Linked DNA regions of Drosophila melanogaster. The protein of the gene in region 4 interacts with the protein of the main gene of each other region in a pairwise test. Each region holds a gene or a part of one and is shown on either strand. Other genes may lie near its edges. The genes, in order: Cpr47Ef, CG6972, a and deltaCOP.

The links.
Region 1: the proteins of deltaCOP (region 4) and Cpr47Ef interact in a two-hybrid assay, tested with the Drosophila melanogaster proteins (one large-scale study listed by BioGRID).
Region 2: the proteins of deltaCOP (region 4) and CG6972 interact in a two-hybrid assay, tested with the Drosophila melanogaster proteins (one large-scale study listed by BioGRID).
Region 3: the proteins of deltaCOP (region 4) and a interact in a two-hybrid assay, tested with the Drosophila melanogaster proteins (one large-scale study listed by BioGRID).

The regions. Positions count from the first base shown.
Region 1 is NT_033778.4:11,266,546-11,274,540, reverse strand, and holds Cpr47Ef (cuticular protein 47Ef), read left to right. Parts: upstream 1-1,965; 5' UTR 1,966-2,149; coding exon 2,150-2,164; intron 2,165-4,270; coding exon 4,271-4,991; intron 4,992-5,055; coding exon 5,056-5,181; intron 5,182-5,260; coding exon 5,261-5,299; intron 5,300-5,387; coding exon 5,388-5,420; intron 5,421-5,475; coding exon 5,476-5,541; intron 5,542-5,633; coding exon 5,634-5,738; intron 5,739-5,800; coding exon 5,801-5,833; intron 5,834-5,888; coding exon 5,889-5,945; intron 5,946-6,001; coding exon 6,002-6,142; intron 6,143-6,199; coding exon 6,200-6,256; intron 6,257-6,312; coding exon 6,313-6,345; intron 6,346-6,405; coding exon 6,406-6,462; intron 6,463-6,521; coding exon 6,522-6,554; intron 6,555-6,677; coding exon 6,678-6,743; intron 6,744-6,828; coding exon 6,829-6,873; intron 6,874-7,239; coding exon 7,240-7,451; 3' UTR 7,452-7,626; downstream 7,627-7,995. Other genes in the region: TpnC47D (troponin C at 47D), read left to right, coding at 399-427; Cpr47Ee (cuticular protein 47Ee), read right to left, coding at 7,771-7,995.
Region 2 is NT_033777.3:22,700,221-22,704,872, reverse strand, and holds CG6972 (uncharacterized protein), read right to left. Parts: upstream 2,867-4,652; 5' UTR 2,583-2,866; intron 1,955-2,582; 5' UTR 1,948-1,954; coding exon 1,834-1,947; intron 1,620-1,833; coding exon 1,281-1,619; intron 1,222-1,280; coding exon 1,021-1,221; intron 965-1,020; coding exon 848-964; intron 781-847; coding exon 661-780; 3' UTR 535-660; downstream 1-534. Other genes in the region: CG13842 (uncharacterized protein), read left to right, coding at 1-330, 386-522; CCAP (crustacean cardioactive peptide), read left to right, coding at 3,394-3,504, 3,706-3,769, 3,823-4,115.
Region 3 is NT_033778.4:22,134,988-22,139,989, forward strand, and holds the start of a (arc), read left to right. Parts: upstream 1-1,980; 5' UTR 1,981-2,221; intron 2,222-2,445; exon of another isoform or gene 2,446-3,012; 5' UTR 3,013-3,264; intron 3,265-3,907; exon of another isoform or gene 3,908-3,954; coding exon of another isoform or gene 3,955-4,278; exon of another isoform or gene 4,279-4,308; intron 4,309-4,947; exon of another isoform or gene 4,948-5,002. Other genes in the region: CG11269 (uncharacterized protein), read left to right, coding at 3,955-4,278.
Region 4 is NC_004354.4:1,858,597-1,863,497, forward strand, and holds deltaCOP (coat protein (coatomer) delta), read right to left. Parts: upstream 3,195-4,901; 5' UTR 3,002-3,194; coding exon 2,999-3,001; intron 2,890-2,998; coding exon 2,850-2,889; intron 2,784-2,849; coding exon 2,560-2,783; intron 2,503-2,559; coding exon 2,090-2,502; intron 2,029-2,089; coding exon 1,831-2,028; intron 1,775-1,830; coding exon 1,461-1,774; intron 1,387-1,460; coding exon 1,275-1,386; intron 1,218-1,274; coding exon 923-1,217; 3' UTR 545-922; downstream 1-544. Other genes in the region: Lamtor5 (late endosomal/lysosomal adaptor, MAPK and MTOR activator 5), read right to left, coding at 1-82, 140-201, 272-306; Gcna (germ cell nuclear acidic peptidase), read right to left, coding at 3,732-4,047, 4,107-4,364, 4,431-4,901.

The DNA.
Region 1 (7,995 bases), on a different chromosome or scaffold from region 4:
TAAAGATCTTGGATTCCTTGGCGCGCTGCCATGGTATTTTCCACACAAATTATATCAATTTGTTGCGGTGGAGAACCCCTACCCCTCCCCACTAACACCACCATCCCACCAACGAGGGGAGACGCCCTTGTGGTGCTTTATTTATAGTTCTTTAGATCTTTACACAGAAACAAGCAGATCACTTTGCCCCAGATTCTAAGGGGCATTTCACTATTCCTAAAACAAAATCCGTCCATATTTTCCGCCTTTTATAATTGTTCCGATTGGTGTACCAGTTTAAAAAGAAACAAATTTGTATTATGAGGTTTTGGTCCAATTTCCACTTGTATTAGTACACAAACCATATTTTAGTTATCAACAATAATAATAATTAATATTATTTTGTATTTAATTTCCAGAATTCATGGAGATGATGACTGGCGAGTAAGCATTGTGGACCCAACGTATCTCATAATTGTCTACCCCCCAACACCCGAGGCTTGAATAAACGTTTTGTATTTTATTTCTACGATTGAGTAATCATAATTACGCTATAAATAATCCGCTCGTTCAGGAACCGATTGAGTAGAAAAACCCAAAGCGCGGCAAACATTCTATGGCTGCAGTGCATCTGCATCCGAGTTGAGTCATCTTAATTGCCAATTGCCACCCTCTGGCGTGCGGATTATTATTAAATTTCAATGTTTGTGCAATGGGCTGGGAGTGGGCGTGGCCGCTCTGCTCATTTGTGTGTTAATTTGGCAAGGCCATTCGGCGTATGAGTGATGCATGTTGCGCATACGCAACGTGGCCAGATGCATGCGGAGTTCTTTGTTTCAATCTTTCCGCTATTACTTGCGGCAGTGCGTGCACATTCCGTTTGCCACTTGACTGGCGTTCTGGTCCGCACAGCTGTGACCATCCCAAGCAGAATAAGGCCCACTGACAACCTGCTAGATTTTTGCCTTTCCAAACAGCCAATGTAGTATATCATAGCTATGCATGCAGGCTGGCAAATGTCAATGAGCATTCTCCTTGTTGCCAAAAGATGTCAAGCATTTACGCTAAACTTGGCCGCCGCGACATGCAGTGAGTTTGTTTTCCCAAATTCAGCGAAAAGAAGCAACTGCCCTTTCTGAAAAGTTAGCGAAAAAAAAGGAGAAGGGGCTTGGGGCAGATCGATGTGGATGGGTTGGGGTTTGGATGTTGCCACCAAGTGGAGCAACTTGTTTTGCGCAATGCTTAGTCTTTCGGCCGGAGGGTGTCGATATTAGTGGTATTTATTACCGCTTCGAATCCAGTTTTCAGTTTTTACCCAATCATTAGGTGAAAGGTCACAGACTGGACCTGGACGCCCTGTGAAAGAGCTGAAAATGTGGCGGATTGTGTTGGGTGTCAGATTTATTGACATCCGCCTGGGCAGACTTCTCAATATGCGATTCTTGACACCGAGCGCATTAAAACGGTTTCCCAAACGTGCAATTCAATGGAGATGAAGCTGAATGATGATGATGCGCTCGAGCGTTGAGCGTTTCGATTGGATTCCAATTTACGAGCACCACCAGCAGCAGTTGCTTGCTTGCTAATTTTTACCCACTAACCGAGGAGAGATGTGGCTGAGAGCGTTTGTTTAACAAGACAAGGTACATTGAGTAAACGAGATGCCGCCGTTGAGACAATAGTCAAAATGCATGGGCTTGCGGATGAGGATGCGGGGGCACCACCACCTCCTCCTCCCTTTTTCGTGCGATTGTTTTCTGCCCCAGCTGGGGACGGAGCCTCAGCTAGCACCACCACCATCACCACCACAGCTGCACACGATTGCAATAAATGCCATAAAGTATCAAAATCTCAGCACTCGCTCAGCACCGAGCTCCAAGCTGCAAGCGGCAAGCTCCGGCTGCAGTTTTCGTTCATTCCATTCCATTTGATTGCATTTGGCGCCAAACCAAGTATAAAAGCTGGAGAACTTGGGCTGCGATCGGCACACAAGTACCGTGACATTCGAGGAGCCACAACACGACACGCGGAGGCACTGCATCGCTGGTGCGGCAAAGGACTTACGTGGATTAACCCAGCTTTGTGGATAAATTAAGCAGTGGATAAATTGTGGGTGCGCCAAGGATTCTTCTTCTTAATCCTCGATCGAAACAATCAAAAGATTGCTGTCATGGCTCTTAAGTGGGTAAGTTCAGTGAAAGAGGAAAGTAACTTTGGGTTAGAAAATTCAAAAGATCCAAGTGTTCTAATGAAGAGTCCTTTGAAACTCCATATGCTGTTGTGGTTAGAAATTATTGTAGAGCTTTACTAATTTTTCCCGAAAAGTATCCTTCTTGAGATAATGACCTAGATTCAAAAATATATTTCAATGTTTGAATATAATATTCATATTTATATTCATATTTTCCGTTTTTATTCTTTTCGGATTTTTTACATTCATTACATTTTTACATTTTACATTCGAATGCAAAGATCTTAATGCTTCAAATTTAATTAAATTGATTTCATTACCCAATTTAATTTAAATGAAAGTAAAGTTACGAATTTTACCTTAGAATAAAGACATTCAATTATTTTAGTCTAGGGAATTGTCTCATCAGAAATCTGTATTAAATTGGCATAGGAATATTCTTATTCATCAAGAGTTTATAACTTTTCAGGAAACTTTGATTTAGTTAATTATTTAATCTCAACTTGGCAACTCATAAAATTCCGCGAAAAAGAACATGCCTAAACAATAGGCCACTGGAGTGTCCCATCTTGGATATTTTAGCACAGCCAAGGGTTTCCCCATTGCACTTAGCATATCCGATTGTCTTGAAAAGATCGAGTAATCCCCGTGAAACGCATAAATTAACAGCCCATTTGCAATCGGAGATGGTGGATGGCACGCAAAGTTGCCCAAGATGGTTTGGTCGTGGCCGATCCGCCCCGCCTCCAAAGCAGATCATCGAAATGGAAGCAGTGGCGACCCAATTGGCAGCCCATTTGCAATAACCGCAATTATATTTGCGGTTGCGAAACGCTGTCGAAGATGTCTGCTAGGTGGTCACGAACTCCAAGAGGCTCTCACAGACTCCTCAAGATATTCCGGCCCAAGGGGCAGGCGTTGCTTGTTTCGGTTGCATGTGCCACAGTCGCCGGATGAGTCAGTGTGGCAAATGTCAGAATTTCCACAATATTACATTATTACACTGCCCGGCTGTGGCGACAAGTGAGCTCATCATCGTGCCAATCGATGGAGCTGTTAGGTTTATGGCCCAATGGAATTCGTAAACGGTTTAAACTTCAACTTGACACTCGCTGGTCCGCTCCGCTTAGCCAACCTTCCCAGCCAGCAATTCTCTGTGGCACTCTCGGTTCACACGCTGCTGCATCTTCAGACGTCTTCTGTCTAACAAGAAGTCCATAAATATCATAGTTCGCCTCAGGCTGAGACAATGATGAGCCAGCCCGATGTTGATACTATAGTCAAGAGTCCCCGCTGCACTTGCAGCCTTAATGGGCGACGACGATCGGTTGCAACAATGGAAAACGTGAGCGGATCGGATTGCGTCGTTCTGTCAATGGACAAATGCTTCATTGATGAAATGGCCGACATTTGGCCACACTCTTGACCCCTTTGGAGGTTCCCAGCGGCGGGGTCATGATACCCACTTGGCCGAGATGTGTATCAGGGCTTAATTAACAGCAGAAACAATTCAAGGTTCTTCTTGTAATTTGAAGTTTGGAAAAAGCTTATCGTTTATTTTTGGAACGAACCATTGCTGTTTAACTTAAAATACACATTTATTACAAATAATTACCAAAATGCTATCATGAGTAAAGTACAGTTGTAAAAAATGACATAATGTTAGTAAGACATTAAAAATCGTTTAAAAGTATTTCTTAATACGAATAATTCGAAAATAATAATTTTCAGACGCTTAACATTATTTTAAGTTTAAATACGTCCTTGTGCTCAAGCAACAAAAGTTTATTCGAATAACACTTTTTATGGCGGTCGTTAAATGACTATTTCATTACATTTAGCAGCCTTTTTTCATGTTATCTTCAGATTTATGAATTAGCCGCAGTTAATGAAGTTAAATTTTAAACAATTAGCCACCCCTGCGATTTTTCACTGGCATTTATTTTGCAATCAAATAAGTCAACACGCCAAAGATTCGCTTCAGGCCAAATTGAGAACGTGGATCGCGATGGAAGATGCTGGATTCGCATGAACTTTCCATGTGCTTGCATAAATTTGTGAACTTACCGGGCAATCCCTACCTGCAACGATCTTTTTCAGGCTCTGGTGATCACGACGCTGGTGGTTGCCCAAGCAGCCAAGCTGGATAACAAATACCTGCCCCCACCTGCAAGTGCGGCCAGTGCGGGCGGCAGTCCGGGAGCAGGGCTTCAGGGCCCAGGAGGTGGCTTCGGCGGAGGTGGAGGATTCGGTGGCGGCGGAGCGGGTGGAGGTTATGGAGGAGGCGGCGGTGGCGGACCAGCTGGCGGCTTCGGTGGAGGACCAGGCGGTGGCGGTGCTGGTGGCTTTGGTGGTGGTAATAACGGACTTGGTGGCTTCGCAAACGGAAGACCCATTGCACCTGGCGGCGGCGGCGGAGGCGGCGGAGCACCCGCTCCACGCCCCAGTCCGTCAGGTGGCGCGCCACCAACTTCTGGACCTCCCATTCCGATCCTCTCATTTGTCAACGAGAACGACGGCGATGGCAACTACCGTTTCAGCTACGAGACTGGAAATGGTATAAAGGCCCAGGAGGAGGGCACCGTTAAGAACAAGGGATCTGAGAATGAAATCCCATCCGTGATGGGCTCATACTCCTACACAAATCCCGAAGGTGAACTCGTCGAGATCATGTACACGGCGGATGAGAATGGCTTTGTGCCCTCGGGCAACGCCCTGCCCACTCCACCGCCCATTCCGGAAGCGATAGCCAAATCTCTGGCTGCCCAGGGCATCTCCATACTGCCGGGTGGTGGATACAGTGGCGGTCCTGGAGGACAGGGTAAGTTTCTACAAAATAAATCAATGGATTAACATTCCATTTCATTGCTCACTTTTGATTGCAGGAGCAGGTGGCGGCGGAGGCGGTGGTTCGGGATATGGAGGCGGATCCGGATTTGGAGGCGGCGGCGCAGGAGGAGGATCCGGTGGAGGCGGAGGTGGAGCAGGAGGTGGCGGTGGATATGGATCAGGTAAGATACGAATTCAAGTCACATTTTGACCCTTTTTCTTTTTTTAGTCTTTTTTGACTTTAACTTTGATTATTTTTAGGAGGCGGCAGTGGTCGTGGAGGAGCACCAGGAGGTCCAGGTAACGACTGATTTATTTATACAATTTTTAAAAATGTTAACCCCTATTAGATTAATTTAATACTTTATCGATTCGTTTGCTTCTTTAGGTGCGCCAGGTGGAGGCGGATTCGGAGGTCAAGGTAAGTTATGTTCCAACGGCTTACACATGGATCTAAAATACTATTTATTTTTTAGGAGGTGGAGGAGGCTATGGAGGAGCTGGTGGCGGAGCTGGTCGTGGTGGTTCCCCAGGAGGTCCTGGTAAGTCCTTTTTCTAGATGAAATTTATTGTTCCTAAAGAAAATCCGTCTTAATTCACTTCATGAATTTATATTTATTTTCATATATTTCAGGATCACCTGGCGGCGGCGGATTTGGTGGTCAAGGAGGTGCTGGCGGCGGTTATGGTGGTGGCGGCGGCGGAGGACGCGGCGGTGGCGGAGCACCAGGAGCTCCCGGTAAGTTAACGAAAAGTGTTACTCCATAGATACTCAAAACTAATAACTTACTTCAACTAAAGGATCACCTGGCGGTGGAGGTTTCGGAGGTCAAGGTAAGTGATCCCGCCTGACTTTGCGGTTCAAGTTAAAACTATATACACTTTCCAGGTGGAGGCGGAGGATTCGGAGGTGGCGGCGGACGCGGCGGTGCTCCTGGCGCTCCCGGTGAGTTCATGATTTCATTCACTTTATATAATAGATAACACATTGCTTATTTTCAGGATCACCAGGCGGAGGCGGATATGGTGGCCAGGGAGGTGCTGGCGGCGGCTATGGAGGCGGCGGCGGTCGCGGTGGTGGTGGAGCACCAGGTGCGCCAGGAGCACCAGGATCCCCAGGTGGTGGCGGATTCGGAGGTCAAGGTAAGGGATTTTAAAACTTACTGCACATTCACCTCGAATAATACATTCATCTTGTAGGAGGTGGTGGCGGATTCGGAGGAGGTGGTGGTCGTGGAGGTGCCCCAGGAGCTCCAGGTGAGTACAAAACATAAATTGTTTGTTACTGAAAATAAGGAATTATTAATTAATAGGATCGCCTGGTGGAGGAGGATTTGGCGGTCAAGGTTAGTTAGCAAAACAATATTCCAGTTGCAGGTCTTAAGTAAAACATCTTCATCTTGTAGGTGGGGGTGGCGGATACGGAGGCGGCGCCGGTCGTGGTGGTGCTCCTGGAGCTCCTGGTAAGTCGATTTTAATATCTGCCTAGTGGCTTTAAAAACATACCATTCGTGTTTCGCAGGCTCTCCCGGAGGAGGAGGATTCGGAGGCCAAGGTTAGTAACTTAGTAACAGTACACTGTGCATTCCACAAAACTTACGAAATTCTTCAAGTTTCCGACTACTTGTTAAACTGTGTTATAAATATTATAATAATTAAAGTAATATTTATTTTTTAGGAGGTGGTGGTGGCTTTGGCGCCGGCGGTGGTCGCGGTGGAGCTGGAGGAGCACCCGGTGGACCCGGTGAGTAACATTGGTTTTTGTGATGAAGAGGTCACTCTCCCAATTTGTCACAACATATAGATGGTATTTACATTTTTTAATGTAGGATCTCCAGGCGGTCCAGGTTATGGAGGAGGTGCCGGTGGACCGGGTAAGAAGCATTATAGTTATAAACCCGGTTTTACAATCTGTGTGATTGCAATTGTAAAACTTGAATTAGCCTCATTCATCTTCATGAGAAAATGATGTGAAGAGCTACACTAGACAAGTGCTATTCCCACACATTTCAGTTTTTTTATTTTGACAATTCTTGTTTGGCAAAGCCTTGGTCTATTGTTTTACCCACGATCGACTAACGATCTTTCATGCATAAAACATTTCGGCTTGCACGCGGTCTCTTTGAAGTCGCTAGATTATAATAATTTTAAAGACTGCTTTAAATAATTACAACTAATCAAAGAGGGTTTACATAAATTTAATGCCACTCTAATCGCGATTGTTTCCATTTTTTATCTAGGAGGCGCCGGTGGACGTCCAGGCGGACCAGGATTGCCCGGCAATCAGTATGTTCCACCAGCGGCTGGTGGCGGAGCACCCGGCTCGCCAGGCAGACCAGGATCGGGAGGAGTTCCCGGCACAGGATCACAGTACATTCCACCTGCTCCGGGAGCGCCGGGCGGAGGTCGTGGAAACGGAGAGTTCAATCCTCAGACGGGCTATAGCTACTAAAATCAGAATTTATTCCAAAACGCCAATCAAATCTCTCAAATCGAAGAAACGTCATTTCCGTGCAGGCTGCCCTCAATGTTCTTTCGCTAAAACAATTAATTTATTTATATAAGCTTACCTCCCTCTTCCACTCTGACAATGTGTGTGTGCAACTATCGAAATAAATGATTATTATAAAATATTTGCTTATCATTTTGCGCCGCGTAAGCTGCGGAAATTGAAACAAACTGCTTGACTTTTCAGATGCATGTATTTCATGCCTTTGAGTTGCGACTACATCTTCAAACTAATCAATCATTTAAATGACATTAATTTGTCGTTATTTCTTTGGGGACTTCTTGAAGCGTCTGCCGTACTGATTATAGCCATATGGATCCACCAGGTTGTTCGGTCTGCCCCTCAGTTGTTGGGTGATTAGGGCCTGTTGCTGCTGCTCGTTTTGCTGCTCCTTCTGCTGCTGTTGCTGCTGCTGCTGTTGTTGCTGCTGCTGCTGCTGTTGCTGGTTGAGATTCTGCTGCTGTTGTGCCTGTTGTGCAGTAAGATT
Region 2 (4,652 bases), on a different chromosome or scaffold from region 4:
TGCTGGACGAGATCTATCTGCCCACCATACGTGCCACCAAGGACATTGTCATACTCAAGCTGATCCTGAAGCTGATTTGTGAGGCCTGGCTGGACTTTATCTACCAGAAGCGCATTCGCTTCAGTGTAAACGGAGCGGTTCGGTTGCTCAACGATTTCGACGATGTGCGTGAGTGGATTCTGGCCTGCAGTCTGTTGGATGAGGAGCAGCTGGATAAGCTGAGCAACCACGAGGTGCTGCGCATGTGCAAGGGTGTGGGCAAGATATTGCTTCGAAAGCCAGAGGATGTGATCTCCATCACCCAGTCGCCGAAATACGACAAAAAGGCGCGTAAGTTGTGTTTGAATATCTATGTGGATCCTATGTTTTTCTGGTCTCCTTGTAGAGGATGCCTCTGCCCAGGACACACAGCTGCCTTCGGAGATGTTCGTCTCCAATCAGAAACACTGGCTGCAACTGAGAGCCAGTGGAGGCAATGGATTTCCGTTCCTGAAACTTTGCTGCGGCGATATTGGCATGTAGATGACCTCGTCAGGGGGTACAAATGTTTATTGAGCCGCTAAAATGCTTTACAAAAGTGAGGGTCTAGAATATATTATAATATATATTAGAAAAAGGGTAACTATGGTTATGGTTATTCTCTTATGTGGAAATCTCCCTTTAGGCGGGCACCTTGCGACTAATGATCTTTATCAGCTCATCCACGCGCTCGCTCTTGCCGGCGAATTGTTTTGGATGCGGTCCAATCATTTGAATGATCATCGGTACGTCTTGCGAGACCTGAAAAATAGCAAAATATTCGAATATTTGACAGCTGTCAATTTGGGCTACCCCGAATATAGGTCACTACCTCGAGGAATCGAACGAGGGCCCTCAGGGTGCGGAAGATTTGGTCTTCGTTGGGACTGCTCTGGAAGAACTGAAGAATGGCCATGGCCAGCTCCACGGCGATATCGTCGAATACCTGCAGATATATATCTTGTATCTACGATATTTTCCAATACTTTGCATACCACATACCACAGTCTTCACTTCCTTAATAGCAATGTTGTACAGGATCATGCTGCCAATATTTTTCAGCTGCGGGCAATTGGAGAGGATGCAGTGGACGGCCACCTTGGTGGTCACTCGTATGTTGGAGATGGTCTGACCATTGTATTCCCACTCCGAAATGTACAACAGCCATTCGGAGGGACCCAGGTTCTCAAAGAGATTGCACATCTGAAACATATTGAATATATAGCAAACTTATATATTCATTCTCCCATTGCGGGACCTACAAACATGGCCCAGGCCTGCTGCTCCTCGGGCGTCTGCTTGTCAATGTCCTGGGCGTAGTTCATCAGTGTGTGATCCCTTCGATCCTGGTGCAGAATGATGATCACATCATCTTTGAGCGCCGCATAGGCCAGCGTGCGGATCAGGTGTATCCGTGTGTCCGGCGAGAAGGCCTGATTGTCACGCAGGACGCGCTGCACGAAGATCAGAAAGTTGTCGCCCAGCGCCCAGGAGCCATCGTCCTCGATCAGATACTGATGCAGCTCCTCCATGGCCACTTCCTCCTCCTTGTAGATCTTGCCATCGAGCAGTTTCACTAGGCTCTCTAGCTCAGTCTTTATCTGTGGGAAGTGGAAGTGGAAAGGATAAGATATATGATGCATTTAGCGATGATTCGGCATTAGATAATATAAGTCACAGATTTACTGCAATTTTCAAAAGTGCATCTAATTGTTTACAAACAAATCAGCCAGTTTGTAATTGTGTATATAAGAAAACATTTTTGTTGGTTTTTTTTTTGGTACTTGGATACAGCTTCCTAGTCTTTGGACTTACATCGATGTCTTTGAGGACCAGCGCCGGTTCGCGTGGTACTTCCTTCTCCTCCGTGGACTTGGAGCGCTCCTTGCCGTTCTGGGACTGCTGTTGTTGGGCTGCGGGCTCTGACATCTCTGGTCTATTAATAGCCGCATGAGGAAATTATAATAATAAAATAAATTGTATAGTCAAAATTAAATGAACATGCATTCGCATGGGACCACAACAAACTTTCGCTGCGCAAGAGCCATTAAATTGCAAAGGATTTTCACTTTTTATTCGATATTATTTTTTACGATCCGCCTGCGATAATGTTGTAATTTTCAGCACAAATTGCCAATCAGGCGTGCTGAAATGTTTACAATTTCGGCAGTAGAAATATGTGAGGAATTTGATGTTTCATATAAACAAAAAAGGCGGAAAAGCATTTAACTTAATTAACAGCAGAGAAGCGCTGGGAAATGAAAAGGAAAAAAAAGAAAAGCGGTTGCCGGCGACACCATTGGGTAGGGGAAAAGTTGTCAAACCGAAGTGTGACAGTAAAACTGAGGAAAACTCAAAATAGCCGTGGTATTTTTAGTTTTTTACTTTACGTAGACAAAAACAAGGTACAGAAGATTCTCAACTGGCAACACGAAATTGCATGCAATGTGATATAAACGACTTTTTTCCGGCCTCAACCGACAGAAATTGGTAATTATAATCAAATAAAATGTTGAGATATTCCCAATTAATATGCATAATTTATAGATTTCCAAATTACTCACATGCTATTTTAGTAGAAGTGACACAGAAATTCCTACACTTTCGACACCAAATCGTGGGAAAGTCGCGAAGAAATCACAATTTAAAAATCAACTAGGGCACAAATGGTATCAGTTGTTTATTCAAAATTCCGAAAATGAATATATGGTTATTTATTTTCCAGATCATGCAACTTTTGTAGAACTTTTCATTGAATTCCAGAGATTCGAGTAGCACGCGAACCGTTTTGGCAGAGAGTCGCCTCGAAATTGCCTCTGTTTGTTCGGAAAAGTCTAGTGGAAGTGTGAGGAAAAGTTTCGGAAAATGCACACTCAAGCGCGTAGGAGCGATCTGTGAGTGTGTTCTTTCGGATATATCCGATCGGATCGGGTCTTTATAAATAGATACAAACGCCTCAGTTCGCTCGCGAGCGAATTATGGCCAATGCAGCTGCACTGAACGAAATTAGTGACAATTGCGGGGGATTTTCGCCCACTTTAAGCCTGCCCAAGTTGCGTTTCAAATTGAATTTGCAGTGGTTTTTATTACACTCGGCAAGGGCAAGGACCATCCTTCACACGTCAATGCAATGTTAATGTGCGGGGGCGACCCGGCTGGGAAAGGTCGGGAAAAACACAAAAAGCCATTAAGTGGCAACCAAAATACATTCCAGGCCCAGCTGGTGGTCCTGTCGCCTTCTGAAAGCAACAAGTCTCACATTGCGTAGCCGAGATGTTGACCAAGGCCCAAGCTGCGGCCACTTTCATTTGGCTTTCGAGTGTTAAGCGCGTCGGTTGCTAAGTGGATCCTTATTAAAAAAAACACACTCCTGCAATGAGAACGTCCATGAGGATTTCCCTGAGGCTGCTTGCACTCCTGGCTTGTGCCATTTGCTCTCAGGCTTCGCTGGAAAGGGAGAACAACGAGGGCACCAATATGGCAAATGTGAGTTATCAATGGATTAACTATTTCATTAAGACCCAACAGAAAGTGGAAGTAAATTGTGAAATTCGTTAAATTAGTTAAGCGGAGTTATAATCTAAGTTGATAACGCGACGCATTGTTTAACGTTCATTTACATACCTAATTAAATAGTTGTTACCTGATTAGTTTTGATATAAATATAATTTATCGTCTTATTTGCAGCACAAGCTAAGTGGCGTTATACAATGGAAGTACGAGAAGCGACCGTTTTGCAATGCATTTACAGGTAATTTTAATACAATATATAATAATATCCATTACAATCCGGACGATTTACAGGCTGTGGACGAAAGCGTACGTATCCCTCGTATCCGCCATTCTCGCTATTCAAACGCAACGAAGTCGAAGAGAAACCCTATAACAATGAGTATTTATCCGAAGGTCTAAGTGATTTGATCGATATCAATGCCGAGCCAGCTGTGGAAAATGTTCAAAAGCAAATCATGTCGCAGGCCAAAATCTTCGAGGCCATCAAAGAAGCCAGCAAGGAAATCTTTCGGCAAAAGAACAAACAGAAAATGTTGCAAAATGAAAAGGAGATGCAGCAATTGGAGGAGCGCGAAAGCAAATAAATCGAAATAATCGGATAAATCGGAATTATCGGAATAGTCGGATTTCTGGAAAGCAAATTGACTGGACGGTTAGCACACTGCTTTTGTTATTGTACATACTATCTTTATCCATGACTCCTTGAATTGTGAAGAATTCCACAGCACTGGCATTGCATTCAATAAAAATTGTTGACCTCACTTTTTGTTGTTTTCTGGTCTATTGTATTTATTGGTAATACATCTGATTATAGAAAACGGTTTAGAAAGTTCATTATTTTTACCACACTGAATATACAATATGTTACCCTATGCTATCTCTTGGTGACATTAGTAATTGGTAATCGCAGTTGGTTCTCGTATCATTGCATACTTATGATAACGATAAGGACAATCATAAAAGGTATTTCAACAGCAAACAGATGGATTGCACCTAGGCAACTTTAGCAAATAAATTAACAAAACACACATATTCATTTCAACTTTATAATTTACATAATACCTATAAATAGAGAGCGAGTTAAAAGTAACATTATTATAACAAGAAACTATGTTAATTCA
Region 3 (5,002 bases), on a different chromosome or scaffold from region 4:
CCGCGGCAACAGACGAATTTCAAATGCTCTTAATAACTACATATGAATGTATATATTATTACCTTTGCATTATTGTAAGGTAAGAAAGAAAACACTTTTGGTCAAGTAAGAACTATCTGTTAATTATTAGTATTTTTGATTTACTGGTAATGCATTGTTTTATAATACACTACTACCTACTACTACTTTCTGCGGATAAGTAGCAACGCGCGCTATTTACTCTTTCCTAGCAGCAAATGAAAGCCCAACGATGAGGTCGCTTATGTGGACAGGTGCAGTGGCCAGGTAAATTCAGGTGTGTGCGTGTGTTTGCCTCCGTTTTCATATGCCGTCCGTCTGTTTTTCGAATGCAGCCCATACCGATAGCCATACCAATACCCCTGCCAACTCCCATAACCAGGCCCAAACCCAGACCCAAAGCATATCCATAGCCCCCGACTTCTGTGCCTAAACGAACAGTTATGCAAATCGAGAAGAGGCGCACCTCCTCCCCCAACGTCGCCCCGCCCCCTGCTTTATCACTCGAGGGGTTTACTTTACTTTTTTGTTTCTCTGTGTATTTAGCGCCTAATACCCAAGTTTATGTCGCTTAATTATAGACCTTAAACAGCCGCCGCGAACAGTTGGCTTAACATGCTAATCGCCAGACTCGGGGGCTAACCCCTTTTCCCATCCTGACGGCGGTGGCGGGGTATCGAATGACCTTCTTCTGATCTGAGACGCCACTTGTTGATCGATAGTATGGAAACTCTAGTAGCTTGGGAGCGGAAATCCGCGATGCGAAAACGAAAACTTTTGTTAGCCCAATCTGGTAATCGATAGTTCGCTTCGATCCCACATCAAACGCCGGCCTTTTAGAGCCAAACTATTAAGCGGATTTGGCCAATTCGGTAGCGGACAGATTGGAACAGAATCGCTCGGAGATCTGCTTTTAATAAGGCTTAAATAGCTCTGAGCGAGCACGATTAATTCGCCATAAAAGTGAGGCTTTAATTGGCTGACGAGTGGGAAGCATTAACTAAGGAAAGTGTTTTTGCCCAAAGAGCAAAGAATATGAATAGACTTTGGTAGTTACACTGCTAGGAATCACGAATACTTATATGTATCTTTGATGCGCCTTATTTTGTTCATGTTTGATTTGGCAAATTACTATAGATTAAGTGATTGCATTTATATATGGAAAATATAATCTTAATTTATTGATTTCTAGTTCTATTTTCGTTTTGCTGCCGTATGTACATTGTAAAGTTTTTCTACTGACATTGAAAGATAAGAGTGAAAACACTTTGCCCTTTTGCACTAAATTTGAATGCCAAACGGACTGCATTCAGAAGTATCCACCCGAAACAATGGGTGGGCGTTTTTCAAGTGGGTGGTTTTCCAGTGGGTGGTGCGCCAGTGGGTAGTAGTTGTCCTTCACATGCCCGCTTACCTTTACCTATGACATTAAGCGAAGCAAATTGAGTGACTGACTCGATTAAGGCACTTGGTCAGTGCATTTACTTACTGTACTACTTGATTACTAAGTGCACTCATAATGCATGCAATTTAAATCATAATTGAAATAATTATCGTAGAACGAGAAATAATATTTAAAGAGAATGGTAATAACTAAGAAAATTAAAAAAAAGTTACTTTATCTGATGAAGGATGAAAAAAAGAAAAAAAAATTTAAGTTCTTACTTATTGTTTATAATTATAATCATTACAATTATATTAAACAATAAATTATAATAATAATTATTAATATATTATTAATTATATGTTAATTCTAATTATAAATAAGTTAAAAATAAAAATGCAATTAGTGAAAGAAAGAGGTATAACAAGAGCTTAAAATTTTACCTTTCTCTTTTCAGATTTTATGCTTTGGTGCTCTTCTCTTAAAATTTGTGTTTTGGAGAGACTCGTTCTCATCTCTCGTTGAGCGACGCGAGCGAGAGAGGCAAACTATTTAAGCCACATCGCAAGGCAACTCGTGTTCAATCTTTGTTTTCGTAGCGCGGCGGTCGCATCGGAGTCGAGAACTCGAAGTGAAGGTGCACGAAGAATTCGATAAATACAATTAAATAGTTTTGAATATATTGCGGTGATTTTTGGATTTGCATACCGGTTTTCGAGAAGCGAATTCGTAAAAACATGTTATGTTTAAATATCGAGAAGTGTCCCAAAGTGCGAAACAAACCGATTTAACAACAAATGCCCAAAGCGAATCACAAACGTGAGAGAAACAATAAATATATAAAGTGAATTATTATAGCATAAAATGAATTATTCTCTTATCAGTGTGTACATTATATTTTCATAAAGCACAAATAAAATTCAGTGAAGACATTAACAAATTCAAGCTAAAAGTTAAACTGAAAGCTAAACACTTTTTTTTGTTGAAATTGCAATTTTTTTTATTATAAATGTTTGTACTGATAATTGCGCTTACAACAAAAACGAATACACAAATCAAAGCAAGTGTCTGTGTGATTGTAAAGAAGAATGTGCTAAGCAAATAAGGCAAATAACAACCATATAACTGTAACTGAAATCCCACACTGAGAAAATAATCAGCGAAGAATAATATTTTGACATCCGTCTCTTGAAATATAAGATCAAACTTTAGGTTAATACTCATTAGAAATATATCAATAAGCTATGAAATATCATTTAAATAAAAATGTAGTGATCTTATTTTCATTTTTCTTCGTGCTCTCATAAGACAAGTTGATTGATTTGCGCAAAGGGAATTCGAGACACTTAAGATATTACCAAGTTCAGTGAGCAACCGCCCTAATGTCAAGGTCTTTCGCTTGGGGATCGGGTTTTAACCTAATGGACTTGACCCCCATTTTCTGTGGCTGTACGAAATCCGCAGCTTAAGTTACCAGCAAAACATATTTACTCAATTAGAGCTGACACCTATTATGTCTCAAGTTGCAACACGTGGTGCAATAAGTAAAAAATATTTTATCAATTCTGTTTAATTTTCCTAATTTTTGATTTCTCTCTAATCGTGTCTAGTAACCCATAAAACTAACGACAATTCGCATAAACAAACATAATAAAGGAAACGTTAGTAAAACAACAGAGTGTAAAAAAGGTTTAGCAACCGCGAAAACGACTTACGAATTTTCACAACAACTTGATGTTTTGTAACGGAGTTTCAAGAAACTAGTAAAAACTTTATTGTGAATTCTTCTGCTGCTTCTTCTTTGCAAGTGTGGCAAAAATTTTGTTGCTCTGCGGATTTATCGAGAACATCAACCACTCACGGTAAGTTGTGCTAATTATTGCTTAAACTTATTTAGTTGGCTATTTTTATTGCAATTTCTTGAGCATGATTCACAAGGGGAATTCAAATCAGAGGCTGCCCTTTAATGAATCAGCTACTTGGTTGGCATGGCCTACATTCAGTTCTCTAAAAATCACTTCTGATATATAAATACGCAGAACTAAATGCAGCCACTGATTTGAAATATCAAATATATTGCAGGTCTTCGTTCTGCATAAGCTTGATGTTCTGAAGTATATTGTATACATCGTTTTTTTGACGTGCTTTTCAAGTGTTAATAAGTTGAGCTGCTTCTATATCATACTCATATGTATGTGTGCAAATGATATATCTGTCAGTTGTCCATCATTGGCTAAGATCAAATCCGAATCTAAGCCATTTCGAGTTGAACAAACCCAATCGCAACGCCGCCGAAAGCGAGAGGCACGGGTACGTGAACTCCATATTCCGACCACTCTGATCTAATGCCGCTGAAATCGCACAAGGTTGTACTTGTGTACGAGCGTATGTAGATAGATGGATGAATAGTATGTGGTCCAATACATTCCGATTTCGATTTCGGATTCGGTTTCGCTTTCGAAGTCGGCTTAAACTTGGCACCTGTTGCGGTCAGAGCAACACTCGACTACACTGTCGCACAAAGTTCGCATAGAATTGAATCGAGCTTGAAAATGTTTTGTGGTCGCAAGTGCTGTCTGTTCTGCCTGTTCATGAGCGCCTGGGGCTTCTTGATGCTGAATCTGCTGGGTATCTTCTTCTACGTCCAGTCACTGATGCTCCTGGAGTCCCTGCCCTTGCCCCACCACTTCCCCAGTCAGGAGGCCTTCAAGGAGCAGGCGGACGAGGCCTACCAGGACGTGTCCACACGGTGCTTTGTAGCCGCCGTTTTCTATCTGGGATTCGTCTTCATTGCGATAGTGGCCATTCGTCGGGATAACAAGAGAAGGAAGCGACTCTACAAGCGGGGTCCCGGTCACTTGCGATTCCGTCGTTGATTTGTATGATTGGTTATTGAATAAACAATTTATTTTCATGGTTCCAATTGCATTTCACCCACTCAGCGACGTCCACCCACTTGTTGGTTCGAAAGATCGAAAGAACCAGTTTGTTGACCGCATTCTGCGATTAGCCTTAACTTCTTTATCGCCAAGCCACTTTTCGATTTCAAGTCTGGCTGACTGTTGTCCACTCCGCATTATGCATTCGTCTCGGACCAACCGATTTTTGACAGCGCACGTGACACCTTCACCGAGGTGTGTTCTCTTTTGGGCATCATAAATTTCCGTGAAATTCTCTTTCCGAAACATGCTAATGGGAATGGGGTGTGGGTTCCCAGTTCTGGCTATTCCCCCCCCTTTCACCTCTATACCGTAGTCTAGTCTACACCGGGGTTATGTATCTTGTTCTTATCGACCGAGCTTTTGTGTCTTACACGAAAACCGTTGTGTAAATTATCGTACACGATTTTCTAGTTGTACGCTTGTGTATCTGGCTTGTTATCACCACCAACCAAGTGCAGTCTGCTGAAAACTGGTTCACTGCATTTACTCATTTTTTCGGGAACTCGGGTTAACTGATTTGGAGATCTGGCAATACCTGGGAAATATTCTAAATTTCCTCCATGGATGGTCTTCTATATAATTGTGCCACCCGAGAGACCGTACAATTTCTTATGCAGATGTAGAATCGTATTTTTTACGAATCTATGAAACACACTCG
Region 4 (4,901 bases):
GTGGCATTCAGCTCCAGTTTGGCCACCTGCTCGGAAATGGCCATTCCGATGCCGGACACGTTCGGATCAATGTCTCCTTTGGCTGCAAAAATGTATTGTGGCATTACGGCACGGCCACTGACTAATCATCGATACTCACTGCCCAAACACAATCCCTGGCGATTGGCCAGCAGAGCTCCCACTGTGTCCTGCCGTGCGGCGCTGAAAATACGTTATGGATTTGTGGTTTATTTGGAGTACTATCTGGAATCGACGGATCGAGTGTGCCTACATTTCCGCTAGGACTTTCTCCAGTTGCTGCTCCATGGACGACGTCGTTATTTCCGCAGTGAAAAAACAAAGCAAGAACAGAACCAAAACAATGACCAGTGTGACCGCTCGCCGAGAAGACGGCAATACCAATAAGCCGGGCGTTAAGAATCCATGCACAGTGGGTACTACTTGCAAAAAAAAGTGACTCAAATTTAATATTTAGTTTTTAGTTTAAAAAAAAGGGATAACCTTCGCTTATAGTTAAGAATCCAGAAACAATCCACTTTGGTGTATATTGTATATGGTTTATTCATAGCAATCTACATACAAATTACTCAAATCGAAGGGGTGCGACGAAGCACACAAAACAAAACACTGCAATCGCCAGTTACAACTAATTGCAATTAATTTATTTGATACCGTTATATGCAGCGCAGCGGAGTGCACAAAATTAGTTTAATTAATTGGCTTTGATGGTGTTTTTTTTTTTTTTTTTGGAATCAATTACTCGCTCTGAGAAGCTGTCTGCGCCATAAATATGTAAAGTTCGCACATGGAAAAATAATTCTCAACATGCTGCAGCAGTTGAATTAATTGCATCGCATCGGATGACCCCGGGAAATTATGTATATTTATGTACTACTTAGGTGGGCGTGGCCAGCGGCGCGGCCTACACGATCTCGTACTTTTCCACGAACAGAATGGACTCGCTTGAATACTTGACCGCCGCCTCGCTGTCCACCTGCACCACATCCTGGGCCACGACGCCCGCATACGGCGTTTTCGAGACGAAGGACACCTGCAAGGGGAAGAAGTCACCGGGAATGGAGGCACTGCAGCTGAACTCCATAGAACCGGACTTGTTGGCGGCATCGATTATTGGAATGTGCCACTGGAGCACATGCTTGCGTGAATCGTAGTTGTAGGTGCCGTCGTACTCCGCCACCGAAGGCTGCACATTCATTCTAAGGGTGAAATGGAATAAGTAATCGCCTGCACATCTACGCCATTACTACACTTACGGCAAGGGAATGACAATGGCCACGTCCTGCAGCTCTAGCTGCTGCGCCTCCAGTTCATACTCAATGTTAACATCGCATCCACCCTCTCCATTATCCGATGGCCAGCAGTTAACTGGGAAAAAGGGAGAAACACAAGCACGTGGCTGAGCGAGAGGGAAGAAGTTGTTTGGGTTTGGATGAACTTACTGGTCAGCGGGACTGCCGACTCGTCCTGCGAGACGAAGCGCCACTTGAGCACACCCACATCGGTGTTAAGGGGAAACGGCTTGCCCAAGTTCTTTAGTCCGATGGTAGTGCGCGACTTGAACAGCTCCTTGTCCACGTTGGGGTGGGTCTGCAACTGCAGGCCCTGTGTGTGGTTGGGAGACAGCTTCAGCAAAATGCGTCCGTAGGCCTCGTCCGTAATGCGCAACGTCAGGAGGCCCGAGTTCTCGAACTGCTGCACGCCACCATCGCGTCCCAGACGCACTACTAGCTTGTCCTCAATCTTCAGATGTACGCTGAAAATAGATGTTATGCATTTAATAACTAACTATACAATCGAGCTGAAACCCACCTCTCTTTGTGAATGTCCGACGCGATAGCTGCCTTGGCCGCTGCACTGGCGCTAGCTGCAGCACTGGAACCTCCAGCGGGCGCCGCCGGTGCCAGATTGGCAATCTTCTCGCCCTCGTTCTTCAGCTGATCCACGAAACTATCGACGTCCTTGGACTTGCCACCTAGCTTGAGGGCATTGCGGGAAGCTGGTTTACTGCTGATGAAATCAGAGCAATGAGTCAGGAGCCTAGATTTAATAGAGCAGAGAAAGAACTTACGCAGCCGCCTTGGATTTGGTGTCCACATCGATGGAGGTGATGCCGGTGTTGGCGCTGGAGGCACCGGAACTGCTGCTCACGCCGCTACTGCCAATTCCGTCGGCGCTAAAGCCGCCGCTGCGGCTGCCAATGCCACCCAGGGAGGGACCACCCCGTTTGCTGGCCTCCATGCGCTGCCGCTGCAGTTCCTTGGCCTTCTCGCGCATCTTCTGGCGCGCATCACGCTCCTGCGTCTGACGCACTGCCTGGTAGACCTTCTCCTCATGTGAGTCCATCTCCACGAAGGTCTTGATCTGGGCCAAGTTGACGCTCTCCCTGTAGCCGAGTGCCACGATCTCGTCAAATGCGAAGATCAGATTGAAGGCATTCTCCACAATCTCCTTCTCGTCGAGCGAGTGGCTGTACTCGGGAATCTGCAAGCGATGGGCCTGATTAACACTGCGGCTTGAGTACATCCGTGTGCAACTCACCACTTTCGAGAAGAGGCGCAGGGTCTCCAGATCCTCCAGAATGTTGCTGGCCTTAGTGGTGATGAGCAGCATATATAGTTTCTCCATCGGCTGGTAGACGTAGCGCACGGAGTCCGTCTCCACGTAAGTGTGCTGCTTGCCAGCAGTCATCAGCTTGGGAAAGGCAGCCAGCAGTCCCTCGATGCGTGCCTTCGTCATCTCGACGAACTGACGTGACAGAATCACTGCGTGTACAAACGTTACGGGTTAGCTAAAGTGATTATTTCTTGCGGTGCATGCAAGCCACTTACCTTTGCCATTCTTCGTGCAGACAGCCGCAGCAATTAATACCTGCAAGTCGGATAGGTTTAGTGATAATACCGGAATGCAATAACCCCCGCCGATGAGACCCAAAATCGCCGACGTGTAGGTGTGTGCGTGCGTAGGTCGGGGCTCTTACCATTTTGCTGCTGCGTTTGACGTTTTTGCCCTGGAAAATACTTCGCGGATCGGATGCGGACGGCGCAGGATGGACTGCTGCTACGGATCGGATTTGCGGGGCGATAGAAACGTTGTTTAACAATCAATCCCCGTAGCTGACGTGTTCGGTTCTGCGACAAATGTTTACCGTGGCTTTGTGTGAGTTCGGGTAGTGTGACCAGCGCCACTGCGGAAACACAGTGTTAATACGCCTTGGGCCAAGGTAGGAGGTAGGCCCGTGGATACCCTGCCATTTTTTTTTTTTTTTTTTGCTACTCCATCTAGAAAATTGTTGTGTCTAGCCTTAGCAAGTACACCGCACTACTCACTTTTCACCAGTGTAGAATTTAACATTTCAAGATTGTGCAAAGCAATTATTTAATAGGTTGTATTAGGCATATATTAACATACATAAACAGACATACTCTTTCACTGTAAGTAATGAGTCCAAGCATCGCCTTTACCAACACCGCCGGCCGACACCGGCTATGCAAAATCGAGCTTTACAGCACTAGCTTTTAAATGTCCGTTTAATTTTAATGGAAACCATGTTTCTGGTTAAGAAAATATATAATACATTAAACAAAATATACTACTTCTACTACTTCGCACGAACTGAGATCTCAGTTAAGTTTTTCAAATTGTCTATGATATACCAAAAATGGTTTAGGGCTTGGAGCACATAATTTAACAAAACTCAAAAGAGAACCCAGCTAGTTGGACGACTCGTCCAGTGTCAGCGTTTCCACTCGGCTGGCGATCGACGCCGCTGTCTCCTCCGCCGGCTGACCCTTCTGCTTGGCGTACTCCACGCTCAGGATGCGCATCACCTGTGCGGCAGTCATGTTGTCGCGCTTGTGTCTCTGGAAGTTGTCCTTAACGAACTTAGCAAATCCCTTCGCCTCGCCCGCCGGCGTGGATACGGTGTTTCCTTGCTTGTCCTTTTTGTTCAGGAAGAGGGTGATGGGTCCCCGGCAGATCCTGCAGCGCAAATCTTCCACCTTGCGGGATCGGGAATGGGCATGTGACCTGTGATGCGTAAAAACTGCATGACAATAATATTCTTTTTATCACTTGGGAGAACTTACGCTTTGTCGCAGCTCAGGCACTTGTAGGTATACTTGAATTCAATGCTATAGTTGTGGCAGACCTTGATCTGCGGGAGATCGGGGAACTTGTCGTTGGCTCTTTGTGCCCACATCTTCCACACCCGTCCGTGTCCACCCTCGCCATTGAATACCCAGGCCGCAGCATGGCAGAGTTCGTGTATCAAGGTGCAACGCAGGCGGTCCGCGGTAGTCAGCACTTTGACGCTCAGTTCCACCACGCTGCTACGCTGGTTAAGTCTGCAAACAATATATATTTATCGAATTCAAGGAGGATATCTGGTTGTCTCTATAAGAATCACCCACTTGCGCTTGTTCATGCACCGGCCGGCAGTGTTGCGCAGCAATTTGGACCAGGTGATGGGCACATCCAGCTCGTTGTTGAACACCTGGGCGTTATACATCTTGTAAAGATGCTGGGCCAGCTGATCCTTATTTCTTGCGAAGTTTTCCCGATAGAAGAAGGCCTCGTTGTCCGCCCTATCGCGGCTCACTTGTCCCTCCAGGGATTTCAGAAAGCCGCACTTGCCGCCGCTCGCAACGGGTGAGAGATCCTTCTGCTTCCTAGGTTTTGGAATCTGCTTAGTGGATTTTGGGGGGGTAGAAACTTTTGGCGGTGCAGATGTTTTGGGCGGAGCAGTGCCTTTAGGCGGAGCCGTTTTTGGCGTAAGCAACTTGAGAATTGGGCTCTCGTGGGGCGTTGTCTGACCTTGCTGCCCAATGCCAAGCTTCTTCTTTACCTCCTGCACTCTCCTGTGGACTGGAGTCCCGGGTAGG